Linked DNA regions of Drosophila melanogaster. Changing the gene in region 1 together with any one later gene gives a genetic interaction. Each region holds a gene or a part of one and is shown in the gene's direction. Other genes may lie near its edges.

Region 1 (8,705 bases):
ACAGATATAGACAGTCAGACTTGGCCATATACTAAGCCGCGCAGATCGAACCGACTAGTTTTTCATTATTACCCTCATGATTATTATTGTATTGCATAAACGCTATAAATAAATGAATAAATAATTGTATGAATGTTAACTATTTCAATGACAATAATAAAATGTTAAAAACGAATACGCATGCATCGCTTATATTTCGCCCCTAATGGTGATCTATTTTTCCTGGGACTCTCGGTGTAATGGACTTTAAATGGTATCCAGCTGCTGCATAATCGTCGCTGTGACCTACGGAACTACTGGCACTTTGGGTAATGTGACTGACTCGTAGATATTTTTTATTTTCATTTTCCGTCCGCTGTCAGAAAAGTTGAGCAAATGATATAGTGCCTTCTGCCTCTATTTGGGTAAGTGGTTACCACTTACCGCCACCCGAACAGCGGCCGTTTTAAGCATATACTTGTCAAGTTTCTGAGTTTAAAAAGACATTCACTTACTTGCTTATCGGCTGGATAAGTACAAACATACACATTTGGCGGGCATGCAAATAAATATATATATATCATCGATAGAGTTAACAAACTACATTGTTAATGTGCATGTGCAATTGGTTATTTTTACAGCCCTATTACAAAATTCTAAATTAACAGAATTTTCATATATATAAAGAAAATAACCTGGGTTTGTCAATCTGCAGCTATCTCCAACATAGGTATATTTTTCGTTTAATTTTACTCATTTCTAATTTAGGGTAAAATAACATTTTTAAAATTCCAAACATCTTCAACGGCCGCTTTTATGTTTGGCTTACATTAACAATATTAACTTTATTTCCTTATTGACTAATGCGACTATAGATACCATTTGCTACCCTACAACGCCTTCTTTTTTCTCCGGTGGGCAGGACGCCGTTTCCCGAAGTCCACCTGGCTAGCCATCAGAGGATCATTGACCTGCCGCTCGAAGGCAGCCTTGGCGGCCGACTGTCGTGGCTGTTTGGCTTCCGAGGCTCCGACAGGGGAAGAGGACGTTCCAACCACTCGCTTCAGGGCCTTTGGCACTATGTACTCGGGCATGTCAGAGAGATGACTCTGTACCTTGATGGCGCGCAGAGGCTTGTCGTGCCGAAGCGCTTGCAGATCGCGTTTGTTCTCCTCGAAAAATGCCTTTAGTTTCTCGCAGTTGAGGATCTCTATCTTTATCTCTCGAATTCGAGTGTCGTGAACAGCTACGCGAGTTGCGGCCCGCCAGCAATCCTGAGCACGATAACGGAAGGACTCAACTTCTTCCATTTTAAACTGGTAGTTCCTGAAGTGATGGCACACTTAGCAATATTACAATTTTGAAGATGTTATTCTATACTCACTTGATGATCTGTTCGCCCTCTTGGGCTGCAAAACTATCGCACAGTTTCTTCTCAACTGAATCGTTTACCTTGGACTCCTTCATGCTGACAAAGGACAAGACGGAGCCCTTGTTATTTCCTCTAGCCGTCCTGCCAGCCCGATGGATATAAGACGTGACATCCCTGGGGAAGTCGAAGTTGATTACGTTGTTCACGCACTGAAAGTCAATGCCGCGGGAAGCACTCGACTCCATGTCGCCGCTTCGAGGAGATTTTCGGTTAGTCGCTGATTTGCCTCCTGGCTTTTCCATATGATGTTCGTCGGAGGCAATGATTATGTCGTAGGTGCCCTTGTTGAACTGGCTAATTGTGTGGATGCGAATGTTGGCAGGCAGCTCGGAGTTCAAGACACAGGCACGGATGCCGAACTGCTCTAGGAACAATCGAACCCTGAAACATTTAAATGGGTAATAATTAGAACGAATTATAGTAAGTATTTAGGGGCGGATGGGAATGCCGTCAGCGAGAAGATTAGTTGCTGGTCATGCGTGCGCCAACTGTTGCCAGCTGCCCACTCCCTGCATTTGTGGTTTAATCATCATTGGCTCCTGTGCATCTAAGGCGGGATTCGTATGGTTTACTCACTTGTAACACCGATCGATGCTGTTCACAAAGATTATGCTCTTGCCGCGTATGAGTCTCAGCTTCAATAAGGCGTACAAGATAGCCGGTTTATCGTTTTCCTCAGCCAGAATGCGCTGGTGCGACAACTGATCTTGCGGCACCAACTCCGGCTCCTCGAGTTTAAGCGTAACCGGGTTGTTCAGGCACAGGCCTTTCATGCGCACCACATCGTCGGTTAGAGTAGCGGAGACTAGGACAGCCTGGTAGATGGGAGGCAGGTGCTTAATCAACCGCTTGAAGTCCTTTTCGTAGCCATAGGCAAACACCAGATCCGCCTCGTCCACCACCAAGGTCTCCACATGCTTCAGATCCACCACGCTACCAGCCTCGGCGTAGGCCAGCAAATTGGCGGGTGTGGCAACCACAATGTCGGGACTTTCAGACAAGGCGTGCCGCTGGGTCACCGTGTCGTTGGAGCTATCGGCAATGTCCGCCACGCGTACAACCTTGCCGCAGGACTCGACCAGCTGCTCGATCACCTTACGGGACTGCCGGCATAGCTCCTTGGTGGGCGCCAGGACCACAGCGCTCACATACTGCTCGCTGGCGTTCAGTTTGGAGTTAAGGATCTTCTGAATCAGTGGCAGGGCGTAGGTGGCAGTCTTGCCGGATCCGGTGCGGGCGCGCACCACCACATCCTTGCCCTCCAGAAGCAGCGGTATCGCCGTCGACTGGATAAGTGTGGGCTGCTGCCAACCCAGCTGGGCCACCGCCTGAAAGATGAGCGCAACACTTTAAAATCTGGAACTGTCGGTCGCAAGCCGGGCACTCACCTTAAGGATGCGCTGATCCAGCTCCAGCTCGTGGAATTGCACCGTTTTCTGGGTCATCTGGCTCATGGTGGGCGACGGTATAAAAAAAAACGCTGGAAAATGCGCAGCGCACGTTTTCTGGCCCAACAAGAAAAAGAGCGAGGCATCGGTCCATTGAATTATCGGCGACTTTATCGGCTTATCGATAGTTGAATTAAACAGTTATTGAAATCTACTTTTAAAGGTAAGCAAATACCTTTAAAAAAAATTTAATATATTCCATTTATTAAATTAAATAAATAAAAAGAGAGAATGCCATAGTCGAGTTCCCCGACTATTAGATACCCGTTACTCAGCTAGTGTGAATGCGAACGCGAAATTTCATCATTTTTCTGGGATATCAATAGCTAATTGGGGAATAAAATTAGAAAAAATTTATAAAGTTTGGCTAGATCGACTCGGCTCCTAATCCTTAATCCTGATCAAGAATATATATACTTTAAATAGTCGGAAATGCTTCCTTCTGCCTGTTACACAATCTAGTATACCCTTTTATTCTACGAGTAACGTGTGTAAAAATCAGCAATTAAATATTTTAACTTAACATTGTATAGCACCTTAACTTCTTTTCTAGTTTATTAGAGAAATCTCATAATTCGCTCTTTTCTGACTTATTTATCCTCCGTCTGAATGGATATGTGAATCTATGGGAATCGACAATTTCTTTAAAAATACGTTTAAGCCGACTTATAGCTTCTTCTTTCGGAGATCCTATTTATAAGGTTTCACCGTATCGACCGAAAATAAAATCCGTTGCAATCCAATAACTAAACAATTGGAGCCACAAACGCTACCGTTCTTTTTTGAGATTTTACCGTATGACTTGATAAGTTTGCAATCGGCTTTTGCGGGTTACATATTAAGGTTGTTATGCTCTATTGTAAAAATTCCTCGTATTTCTTATGTTTTTTTTCTCAATGTGATAGACATTAAGGTCATATCGATATATTTACATACATAAGTAAAATTAATAAACATAACATATTCCTATAAAACTTTCAAAATATATAAATCTTTTTTGCAGTTATAAATAATATTTTTAAATATATTTATTTTTAATACAGAGTATCCAATCAACGAAATTAAGAACGCTTATTACCGCACACAGCTATCGATATATCCGCGAAAATCGATAGTTCCGCGGGCTCGCGCAATTGCATCCGAATTAGTCACTTTCGCCGGCTGTTATGGACTATACACGTGAAATTTTGACCTTCCAGTTCGGAACGTACGCGAATTACGTGGGCACACACTTCTGGAACCAGCAGGTGAGTTGTCCTACCCACTTGGCAGCCGGGAGCCTCACGAATTACACATTTCCAGGAGGCCAACTTTAGGTACGGAGACGAAAGCGAACAGGTGGCCGAGGAGCAGCTGCCCAACAATGATATTTTGTACCGTGAAGGGCGCAACGACCTCAATCGTACCACCTACACGCCCCGCCTGCTGTCCGTGGATTTGTCCGGGACCCTGGGACATCTGCCGGTGACCGGCGAGCTGTACGGCAATTTTGTGCAGCGTGATGAGGAGTTGCTGCCCCTGAGCACCGGAGAGGAATTGGAACAGGTTCGCAAGCGGGCAGAGGAGAGCGGCGTATGCTCACCGGAGCAGCTGGAAGTGCAGGAGCAGTCGAAGGCCTCCATTTCCGAATATCAGCGGGATCTGCTCAAGAATGCTGTGGTGCCCGAGAAGAACTATCAGCTGGCAGCGACGGCAAACAGTTGGGTGGACTTCCTTTACGCCAGGTATCACCCGAGAACCTTGAATGTCTTGCCGGGGCTGATCCGAGATCCGACTGCCCAAGCCCTGGGTACCTACTCTGCCGGAACAGAAATGTGGCAGGAAGTCTCCTTCAACGAGGAGTTCTGCGATCGTATCCGTTTGTATGTAGAGGAGTGCGATGGCCTGCAGGGCTTCCACGTGCTGTTCGACATTGACGATGGCTTCGGCGGACTGGCTGGGAAGTGCCTGGAGCACCTCAACGATGAGTACAGCCGGGCGAGTTTCGCGCTGCCACTTCACTATCCCAGGATCACTAGTTATCCCCAAGCGGGTAAGTAAGGTGATTTTTAAAGAAATCTAGCATATTAACACAGTTTGCCCAATTCCCAGATACCCGCCTGTCGCACAGCATTCGGGTGGTAAACAATGTGTTGGGCTACCACCAACTCAGCGAGCAGGCTTTGATGTTCACGCCGCTATCCACGCTGGAGACCATCTGGCGAAACAATAATCTGAAGTCGCGCAGTCTGCCGGGACTCCAGTGGGAGACGGATAACCTCTACCAGACATCAGCGCTGCTGGCCGCCTTTTTCGACACGGCCACCTTGAGTTACCGCCTGCGGCAAACGCCAGAATCTTTGCTACGCTTTTGCGAATGCGTCACTCCAGCGGGCAGAAAGATGACCGCCGCTGGATTGGCTCTGCCATTTGGGCTGAGGGAGGGTCAGGATCTGATAGAGTTTCTAGACCAGAGTGGCGACCACGCGCTGCTCACACAACTCACACCGGGCTGTGAGCCTGGCACATCCTACGTGGTGCAATCAGTGACGGCTCGTGGCATTCCCGCGGAACGTTTGAAACGGCCCAGGGAGCTGGCCGGCGATCAACTTCGGATGGCTGCCTATAGCTGCGATAGTATATCCCATATGCTGCAGCTATACTACCAGTGCACCTATCATGGAAGTGTTACAAATGCGGCAGCCACACCACTGCCACTAAAGACACAGCTACCTTTTCCTTATGAAATGTTTGCAGCCGGTATATCACGCGATGGCTACCGCTTGCCTGAGGGGGCGGAACGCGAGACGGGTAGTCGTGTGGATTCGGCACCCATGCTGGCCGCCGTACAGAACTCCACCAAGCTGGGCGAGCATCTGGACAATGTGCACGCCCAATCGCATCGAGTGCAGCTGGCCAAGTTGCAAGCGTACTCTAATTCTGGATTGGAGCGGGATGAGTACGATACGGCGCTGGATCAGCTGCTTGAGTTCCGCGACCTTTACGCAGACTCGCAGTATCTATAGGATGCTGTGGTTTTGGAAACTAAGATTTTGTGATAAGCCTAGGATTATGTACACAAAAAACACTCGTATACAGTCGAATTCAAGATGAATATGTCATTTTATATTGCCTCCGAATTATATTTTCGTTTAGTTCAAACGACATAATTTGATTAGTTCTTGTGCATTTATTTCTGTTAAATTGTAATTCCCTTAGAATTCCTATATCTCTTTTATTTTTACGACTCTCGTGAAGATTGTTGTAACCAAACTCAACCTATCGATGCATATATTATTTGCTTAGCTTAAAATGTTCTCGAAACCATTGTTACGGCCTGTATGTATAAGCTTAATGTGCCATGCTCCTTGTCCTCTAAGGTGTCAGGTTGGTTAGCTTTACCCGGAGCGGAAGTTGATGGGCTGTGGCCCCACCCGCGGCACTTTGTGATTGGCAGTCTCGGAAGCGGCTTTGATATTTTCGCGTTTCCAGGAAAGCGAGGAAAGTAAAAAACAAAACAAAACAAAACAAAAACAATGTTGTCTGGGCAGAGAATTTTGAGAGTCGTCAATGAAGTTTCTAATAACGCAGAATGGTCGAAATGGCCAATTTGATAAGTATTTAAAAAAAATGTTTAATTCTGAGCGGTAAAACGTTTGTGACTACAAGGTCTATAATTACATCGATTTATATCTTTAGTTTCTCAGCTGAATTCTTGGAATTTATCTGCTGTTAAAAACCTTGTCTTAAACTATTTGCTTACTATAAACATTTTGATTGGCGTACTAATGTTAATGGTGTTAAAAAACATTTTAGGGATAATATGTAATAAAAGGTGTTTGAGCTTGGAAATCGTTAATCTCATTATATCTCATAATAAATGTTGGCTTTCATCGTTAGGAAGTTATTAAATTATGCGTGCCGGATGGGCTATTTCGCCCACTGTGCGACCATGACGACATGGACGTGCCTAAAGAAATCGGTGAATTTTTATTTGCATGGCAATCAATTTTTATTCCTGCTATCCTGGAAAAGGCCAGGGGCATATTAATTTATTGAAAAGGTCTTTATTAAAAAGGATAGACTCTATAGTCAAAAAACTGAACTAACTGTTTTGGGACTAATGAGTTTTTACTTGCACTAAACATAAATTAAAGGGATGTGTGCTTTTATTTCTGAATTACTTTTATCTATGTAATTTGTCAGCTTTTTTACAGATTTTCTTTTTAAAACTCTTGCCTTTATGAAATATAAAAAAAAATATAAAACAATCGCTATGCTTTCATATCAAACACAAATAACGCCACGGACCTACGCAACCACTGGGTAACCGGAATTCGGTCTTTTGAATTGGTTGCCATCTTCTCCGTTGACCCCAAGGACCCTTCCTGGTCGACTTCACCTTTCCGCGACGTCTACGTGCGGCTACTGGCCGCTTTGTTTAACCTTAACCCTTACGGATCGGATCGAATTGGATCGGGAGCTGGGCCGCTTAATTTATACGAAAATTTATTGTCAATAAAGCGGCAGTAATTGAAATCTCAACGGGAGTAAATCACAATTTTATGGACTGCTAACGGGCGGCGACTAGGTGGATGGGATTGGGATTGGGATTAGGGCCTGGAGAAGGGGGTTCATAATTTGGGCGAGTGTTTTCCGTTTGCCGGTCAAGTTTTCCGCACCAGCCCTGCGTCCTGCGTCCACATTGTTTTGCAAATTAAATTTCAATTTGATTGGCACCGCTCCTTTAACATTCTGCCGTCTTTTTAGCACAGGTCCTTAAAGCAGCTGCTGTTCTCTAGCTGCTGCTGGTGTACTTCCGGGGAAAAAGGACCAAATCCGAAATTAAAATTACGCCAACGACTTTAATGGAATATGTGCGTGGAATTCGAAATGCCAAATTGAATAGCCTGCCGAGCTAGTGGAGTGTATATATTTCGTATATTGTTTTTTGCAGCTTTTAATTTTGTTTCGTTTTCGTTTTCATTTTCGATTCGGACCGGTCCGGTCCGGTTCGGTCTGCATGTGAATTGGGACGAGTCCTTGCATTAGCATGCAGTCCTGTCACTGCACATCCAGCCGCCACTCACTCCACCTGCAATACATGTATTTGATTAATGTGGGCTGCACCAGCTCTGATCCAAACACTGGGCCACTCACTGGGTGTCAACTTCTGTAGAATTTAAATTTAATAATCAGGCAGATCTTTAAGCGCCTGGAATGTGGGCATAAAACCAGGCGAGGCATGTAAAATAGTTTCATTTTGTAGGCCAAATTTGCACAGCTCCAATCTAAAACGTAAAAGAAGAAGTTAATATTTTAACTGGGACACAGGGACACTGGGACACTGGTAGGTACACTGAGAACGAAATGCATAATTGCATTGGAATTTAATGTCATCATAAATTCGTAATTATTTAAAACTCAAAATGCCTTAAACCTGAAGTTATTCAACATGCACATATGTATGTAAGGAATGTTGACGGCTGTATCCGGCAGCTAGTCACCTTCCAGGTGGCAAGTGTCAGGAGCGCTAATGAGCTTGGGTAGGAAGAGAACACTGTGACGAGTTCTGTACGGATTTCGGAGGCCAGAAATGGGAGCCATTGGTGGATTACTTATGGATCGCTCTACATTGATCCAGATCCTATGATCGAATAAGACACCAAGATCTGGGACAGTGTCGGTGGGTTCTCTGGTGCAGTTATGTGCTAATACGTCGCGAGCCTGATCTAATCAGTATTAAGCAGTAGCTTCTTGGCTTGGCATCAGGAACGATGGTTATTGAAGTCGAGCTGGAGCTGCTTGTAGAAATTAAGCGAGTCTAAGTGCATACACAACTTAACTCACTCACTTGATCTAAGATG
Region 2 (7,950 bases), on another chromosome or scaffold:
AGAATTGCATACGGCTGTCGAAATGGTCATCATAATGGCTATTGCTGCAGTTGGCTTGAAATTGGTGACTGCGCGTTAGTAGGTAGAATGTCCGATTTTACGTGTGACATAGGCTGGGCTTCCAACAACTAAAATTGCATCTAAAAATGTGTATGTAAAAAATGAGACACCTCTTATGTGTTAGTAGAGGAAATAGCGTGCTAACTGCTTATGAAATTCCTTAGCACGTAGTTCTGGTACCCAAGAATACTTGCGGTAATGTATCCGCTTATAAGAACATCTTTTAAATTTTCACTCTTTCTCATCACAACATTATGTAATAGTTTGAAGGTCCGTAATGCACAGAAGTGTCAAATTAATATTTAATTTTGTTTTCAAGAATTCCAGTGCTATTATTTTAAATGGTAGTATTTACTTGAGCGTACATTTTCGTCCGGGGGAAGGCATGACCACTTCATACTGCCACCAGTAATTCAATTTGGCCCTCAATGCCATGCAACCAGGTACTTCTTCAGCGGTTCAGCCATTCCGACTTGAAACCAAAACCAAAGCCGAATCCTAATTCAAGTCGGGCAAGTTTAGCGTGCAAACTTTTGCATGCATGCATTCTCAGCCATTTTCCCCATTCCCCGCAGCTCACCACAACAAATTTAAATCATTTGGGAAATTAATTTTATTCAACACTTTTCCCCGCCGCACTGCCACTCTGCCACACTTCCATACTTCCAAGTGCCGTAGTGCCACAATTTGTGCAGTTTCTAAATTTCCACACACACTCTCCCCCGCTTTCCATTTCCATTCGCAGATGCGGCGGCCAGGCAGTTCCTGGGCAGCGTGGACAGCGCCTGTGTGTTCCACAACGCCAGCTCCCGGTTTGCGGACGGTTTCCGGTTTGGCCTTGGTGCCGAGGTGGGCATCTCCACTGCCCGGATCCACGCCCGCGGGCCTGTGGGAGTGGAGGGGCTGCTGACCACCAAGTGGATCCTCGAGGGGCAGGACCATGCCGCCGCCGACTTCGCCGAGGGAGGTGGCCGCACGTGGCTGCACGAAACCCTGCCGCTGGACTAAATAACCTTAAACTGAACTATTCTTAGATGTAGCATACCGAATCGCGTTCCAAAGTAGAGTGCACTTTCGTCATCTTTTAGAGGAGTGCATTTTGAGCGAAGGGTAATTACGTGGGGATAAGTGGATCCGGATCCGAATCCCAATGTGGATGAGGGCGAGGACAAGGATGTGCAGCTCCGATGACAGCTGCCGTCGTGGCCACATGGGATATATTAATTTGAGTGAAAAATATTTGCAGAGACAACTTGTGTAATTAATAAAGTAAGGGAGAGAAAGTGGGCGAAGGTTGTTCAAACTGTCAGCCCTTGTCTTGGGCCCTCAAAGTTTGCAGCGAAAGTTCCGCGCTGCAGATGGGGGATACAAGAAAATAAAATTAACTGGAAGAAAGCTGGAGAAATTGCGCTTTAAGTTTCAATCTCTCGAAAATATGATGTACTTTATAAACGGGTATTCCTATTACAAATCATAAATTAGCCATGGAACGTGCAATCCAGCTAAGCATAGTTCTGCCCCGCGGCTACTCGGAGGCGCCTCCAGCTTGGAATGCAACCGCGTGGCAAGTATTTTAATTTTTCTGTGCACTGGAGCAAGTTTCTTAGGCCAGCTCAACACCCCTCGCTCCCTCTCTCCGCCCAGAAACTTTTCGCATTGCGTGCTGGCCGGAGGAGGCGTGGAGGTGCCGCAGGTGGAGCTGTGGACGGGCAGGGCTTTGCCATTTGGTTCTGCCACCAAAGGTGGCTCCTTCGTCCTGTCAACGCGCTAACTTTTTCGCCGAATTTTCCTCTTGAAACTTCAAGCTAAATTGATGTTGGGGTCAGACAGCAAGGGTGCAAGGGAAAATTGAGCAGTACCAAAAGCGCAGAATGGAGGTAAATCTGTCTATATTTACTTGAAGAAATCTATGTGTAATCTATTAATATACAACCGAAAAATAACCAAAATATGATTTCCAAAAGGGCACTCTTATTTGTTGATCGAAACAAGACCTTCTAAGAACTAATTAAGACTTACTTAGCACTGATTACAAATACTATCTGCCCACTTAATTGATCCGATCCCATGCCACATTTAGCTGTGAACTGAAAAAGTTGCAATATATCGAAGTATTCAGAGCTCCTCCACCCCTGGATGCGGTTATCTACTGAGTCGGAGGAACCACAAGTCCCTGCTGGCGGGCATTATTTTTACCTCTTTCAACTACTCGACGCGCGTACGACCAATGATACGTGGTTGGTGTCCGTACCTGATCCGCAAGGTGGTCACGTAATGCTCCGCAGTTGGCGAGCACTTGGCAAAGTTAACGGGCCAAAGTTGGAGCTCAGAAGTTTGCTCCTTTGGGGAATGCACTCGCTGCAGTAAAAGCAGAGTGCATGCACCTCCTCGGATGGGGCACACTTAATTAGAATATCGGGCATTAATCTTATGGCTAATGCCACGATGAGATCGAGCGATATCGGTGGACAGGCGCAAAATTGCTGTTGGCCGCATGCACCGCTGCGCCAAACCCCCCAACCACTTTCCTTTGGGCTCACAGGGCTATGTGCCGTGCATAGCCGTACAAAATTATTTGATTCTATTTTTTCAATTTGATTTCAATGAAATCCACACGACAGCGTCAACATTTATAAGATGTATAAACGCAAGTGCTTTGGCTGCATTTTTGAGTGTGACAACATTCGGGCCACACCATCTATGGACTGAGTGGGGGCCCAGAAGAGCATTGGCACCAATTTCTCTTACTCGAGCAGGGAAAAGCTGCCTACAAGACCAAGATAAAGAACTTGGGGGAAAGGCTGGCCACTACATTGCATTGTTCACGGGTTGTTCTTGTTGCTGCGCCGCCGTTTTGCGGGGGTTTATTTATATAAAAACTTAAAAATATATCTACAGATGCCTATACAAGTCCTGGCGCATATTTCGATATGTTCTCTCCTCTGTTCTTTGTCGAAGTCATAGCAAAGTTGGCAGCCAGACATAATTTAGCGAAAACGAAATGAAACTAAGTGATAAATGGTATTTGGGAATGGAGCAAATTGAATACTCTGAACGAACGCAAAATCCCGATAATGCTCTGACTAATACGACTTAGGGCCTGATGGAAATAAATTATTCTATCAAAAAACGGAGAGCCTATTGTCAGAGCTTAAATCGAAGCTCGTTAGATAAATCCATTTGTTAGCTTTGGCTTAACACATTCTGTCATTTGATGCTTAAATTAAAAGTAATTGGAATACCCAATTTTGCTATTTGTCAAAAAAATATATCTATTGTGTATATTTGGGACTATTGCCATTCTAAAACAATATATAAAATAAATATAAATATTTATATTATGTATGTATATTTATGACTATTGCCATTCTAAAACAATATATAAATATCAAAACTATCTAGCCTAAGCCCAGCGTTCCAATAAATTATTTATTTTCCCAAATTTCACAAGCTTATAAGTGTGTGCGGATTAAAATTCTAACAATATAACAAGACTTACAACTTACAAAACAACTTATTTTATATTGAAATCTAGTACCAATTTAGTTGCTCTAAGTTGTGGCTTAACTAGGGTTCTTTAATTCGTAATCCAACTTGTTGCCGTAGGCGTAATACCCGAAATCAGAACACTTTTGTGAAATCGAAATGATGTGCATCCGACCACCCTCCCCGGAAACGCCTGATCCCCAGCCAGCGTTGCATATCGCGGAATTCATCAACATGTTACTAGATGAACAATTGTTCGAGATGACAGGGACATGGGCGTGGGGCCGGCGGGGCGGGACAGAACTTATTTAAATGCAGCTGCCGGAGCGCATAACGAATCACTCTGATCGCTGTCGCTGTTGGATTTACACGTCGTGAGTGTAGTCTTGTCCGCCCATCCGAAATCCGTAACCCGCATAAGGGATAACCGATCTGTCTGTATCCTTGTAGTGCCGCCCGCACCAAACTAACCAAACATGTGTGACGAAGAAGCATCAGCCCTGGTCGTAGACAACGGCTCCGGCATGTGCAAGGCCGGATTCGCCGGAGACGACGCGCCCCGCGCCGTATTCCCCTCGATCGTAGGCCGTCCCCGTCACCAGGGCGTGATGGTGGGTATGGGTCAGAAGGACTGCTACGTGGGCGACGAGGCGCAGAGCAAGCGCGGTATCCTGTCGCTGAAGTACCCCATCGAACACGGCATTATCACCAACTGGGATGACATGGAGAAGGTCTGGCACCACACCTTCTACAACGAGCTGCGTGTGGCCCCCGAGGAGCACCCCGTTCTGCTGACCGAGGCTCCCTTGAACCCCAAGGCCAACCGCGAGAAGATGACCCAGATCATGTTCGAGACGTTCAACTCCCCGGCCATGTACGTGGCCATCCAGGCCGTGCTCTCCCTGTACGCCTCCGGCCGTACCACCGGTATCGTCCTGGACTCCGGTGACGGTGTCTCCCACACCGTGCCCATCTATGAGGGCTATGCCCTGCCCCACGCCATCCTTCGTCTAGATCTGGCCGGTCGCGATCTAACCGACTACCTGATGAAGATCCTCACCGAGCGCGGCTACAGCTTCACCACCACCGCCGAGCGCGAGATTGTGCGCGACATCAAGGAGAAGCTGTGCTACGTCGCCCTGGACTTCGAGCAGGAGATGGCCACTGCCGCCGCCTCCACCTCCCTGGAGAAGTCTTACGAGCTGCCCGATGGCCAGGTAATCACCATCGGCAACGAGCGCTTCCGCACCCCGGAGGCCCTCTTCCAGCCATCGTTCCTGGGCATGGAGTCCTGCGGCATCCACGAGACCGTCTACCAGTCCATCATGAAGTGCGACGTGGACATCCGCAAGGATCTGTATGCCAACAATGTGCTGTCTGGCGGCACTACCATGTATCCAGGTGCGTAGTCTTAATTAATTAGGACCATAAAGTTCAGAGGAAATTCTTCCGAGGGAATGGGATCAAAACTATGCGGGATACTTAAAAAAAAAAACAAGTGTTACTTTATACATTCATTTGGCAGAGAGGAAATCTTTAAATAATAAAGCCTAAATATTTAGCTGAGCTTTGTAATAACAGTTAAAAAAAATCTTATGGAAAGTAGTATTACAAAAAAAAAAAAAAGAATTCACCTAATGGGTTATATCCTTTCCCTATATCTCATATTCATGCATGCTATTATTAAAATGTCATGTAATGAGTACACCAAAGCTCCTCGGTTCTGTAGCACCACTAATGGATTCTATTTCTGTCCTCTTCAGGTATCGCTGACCGTATGCAAAAGGAAATCACCGCACTTGCCCCGTCCACCATCAAGATCAAGATCATCGCCCCGCCAGAGCGCAAGTACTCCGTCTGGATCGGTGGCTCCATCCTGGCTTCGTTGTCCACCTTCCAGCAGATGTGGATCTCCAAGCAGGAGTATGACGAGTCCGGTCCCGGCATCGTCCACCGCAAGTGCTTCTAAGCATCCAAGCCACCCAAACCAGATCAACATCTCCTCGAGCGCGGCCCTGGTGTTTGTCTCCAGCGTAAGACATCCGACCAGGCGCCGGCGCCAAGGGTGAGGACGCAGTTCAGTGAAAAGTATCTTTAAATTACATTTAGTTGATGAAGAAGTTTTAACATAGATAGAGAAAACAAGAGAAAGAGACGAGAAAAGACCGGAAACGAGCGGCAACGCCTTCTTTTTTTATTATTATTGCTATTTTTATTTGATTTGACTCGGAATTTGTACTGCTTGACTCGCTTGCCAGCGCGTAAAGTGGCCAAAACAATCGGTTGTACGTACAATAAAAACCAATAACCCATGTGAATCGAACCCAAGTCGAACGTCACAGGAGCAGCAGGAATGCGTGGTGGGGAAACTTTTTTAATTAGGCCTCGACGAATGTCAATCAGGCACTTGCCGGCCAACTTTTATTCTCTAACAGCTGCCATGGCAATCCCCCAGTACGGGTATCTGTATCTGTATCTGTATCTGTATCTGTATCTGTGCATCTATCCCCCCGCATGCTCTTCTGTCACATTTTCACAAACCCAGATGGATTTTCCACACGAAGAGAGGTTGCGAGGAATGACTTCTGGAGGACTGAAGTCGGAAATACAAGGAGCAGCGACAGTCTTAACTGGAGCCCAACTGCTCACAGAACTTTTCGCCAACATAAATGTTTGTGCTCAACTTTTGGCTGCAAACTTTTGAGGTTTCGCCAAACTATGCATAAACCAGGTGCCGAAAACTGTTGCTTAATTAGTTAGGGCCAAGCTTGCTGGAGTCGCCAAAGAAAAGAGTCTAACTGGGTTTATTGGTCTAATGTCTGCTGCTAAGTCGTCAGTAACACGGAAACTCTTCTAATGACTAGGGAGCACGTGCATTCTTGATGTTTTTGGGCACCCAAAATCTTGCCCCAAAACCTTGCCAATTATGATTTTAGAGATGCAGTCCTGGGGATTCTGGCACGTGTAGATATCAATTGAACTTTTGTTCCATGGTCCTTGCACCAACGCCACTGCTCAGCGGTCCATGGGTCATTGGATCCAAGTGCGGTTCATTATCCGCCGTCCAGCCAGGGAGAGCGGAAACAGAGAAATTAGTGCGGCACGTTGGCGTACAACTAAATGTTTGGCGGACTGGCTGGTCCGAAATGATAGTAAAGGCCTGGCTGGAAATCGCTACTCAATCAATCAGTGGTCGCAGCAGGTCAACAAATTTGGCCATAAAGCCCTAAAACTGAGGGGTTAATAGCTAATGGGTCGATTTGGCCCACACTCAGAGAAGTCACTAGAATGCACATTTATGATTCCTGGCTAAATTTTTATATATTTCTGTGGTTAAGTTAACTTATGTGAGAAAGAACAATTCTTTAACCAATATCACAGTTAACATTAATAATAACATTTTTGCAGATAATTTTAGTAAAAGTGGAAATAGAGTGGAGCTAAAATTTTTTCTTCTTTTAGTGCAGAATACCAGGCGGCCGAAAAGTGGGCCAAAATCCGTTCTCTGGTTTCGTATTGTTATGCTTGCAGCACTTGTCTGTACATCAAATTGAATTTAATTACAGCCCGGCCAGGGTTTTCGTGCTCCCCCGGAGTCATCCACATTCTCGGAGTAATGCTGCGTCGATTGTTTGTTTGTATGTCGGTTTCAGTTTGCGGAAATGGTTTTGCATTTTGCATTTGCTGCCATTGCAACTGCAACTGCAACACCGAGCTGCAAGTTCTGTGCAAGTTCTGTTTATTTTATGCTAATTTAATACACTCGCCCTATCAGCCGGCCCATTGATACCATTATAATTTGGTGTTAATTCCGAAGGCAAATACTTCAATGTATTTGCCATTTTCATTATGCAGATTTGCCCAGGCGCAAAACAAACAAGCTGGAATTAAAGCCCAAAGTTAACGAGTTATCTCTCGTCTGCCGAGAGCTGTGGGCGTGAGTTGTATGGGAAAAGGGTTGGAGGCCCACAAAAACTTGGACTTGATGGTCGATGGTTTTGACAAGCTAACAAATTGTTTTCCCTGGCTGGAGGTGCACCACATGCGGACAGGAAATTAATAAATAAAAGGGCTGCACCATGATACCAGACCCCTCCATCTTCATCAACCTAGGCGTTTTCCTCACATCCTGCTTGCCACCTAATAGCCCTCCCCCGCATCCTTTGAGCTTAACTGACCGCCGCAGACCTCCTCTTAATTGAGGCGACTCTATCAACATCTTGGCCATCACTATCAATTTCCGTCGGCTGCTGTAAATTTAAATTTATACGCCTGCCACTGACACGCTCCCAAAAATGGAAAAACTTTAGCACACGCACATGCGACTCCATCCCACTCGTTTGTCTTAGTTGATAGTAATTCAAACTTGGATCCAATTAATGCCCAGCAGGTGCAGGTCGGGTT

What was found. A genetic interaction does not mean that the proteins touch.
Region 2: of mst (region 1) and Act79B, changing one suppresses a phenotype caused by changing the other (phenotypic suppression), as found in Drosophila melanogaster (one study listed by BioGRID).

Annotation. Positions count from the first base shown.
Region 1 is NC_004354.4:21,384,987-21,393,691, forward strand, and holds mst (misato), read left to right. Parts: upstream 1-3,990; 5' UTR 3,991-4,025; coding exon 4,026-4,106; intron 4,107-4,161; coding exon 4,162-4,891; intron 4,892-4,950; coding exon 4,951-5,864; 3' UTR 5,865-6,547; downstream 6,548-8,705. Other genes in the region: Ddx56 (DEAD-box helicase 56), read right to left, coding at 870-1,305, 1,364-1,792, 1,988-2,739, 2,800-2,865.
Region 2 is NT_037436.4:21,981,329-21,989,278, forward strand, and holds Act79B (actin 79B), read left to right. Parts: upstream 1-3,881; 5' UTR 3,882-3,920; exon of another isoform or gene 3,921-3,996; 5' UTR 3,997-4,022; coding exon 4,023-4,947; intron 4,948-5,309; coding exon 5,310-5,515; 3' UTR 5,516-5,862; downstream 5,863-7,950. Other genes in the region: P5CS (Delta[1]-pyrroline-5-carboxylate synthase), read left to right, coding at 806-1,068. UniProt on the Drosophila melanogaster protein: Actins are highly conserved proteins that are involved in various types of cell motility and are ubiquitously expressed in all eukaryotic cells.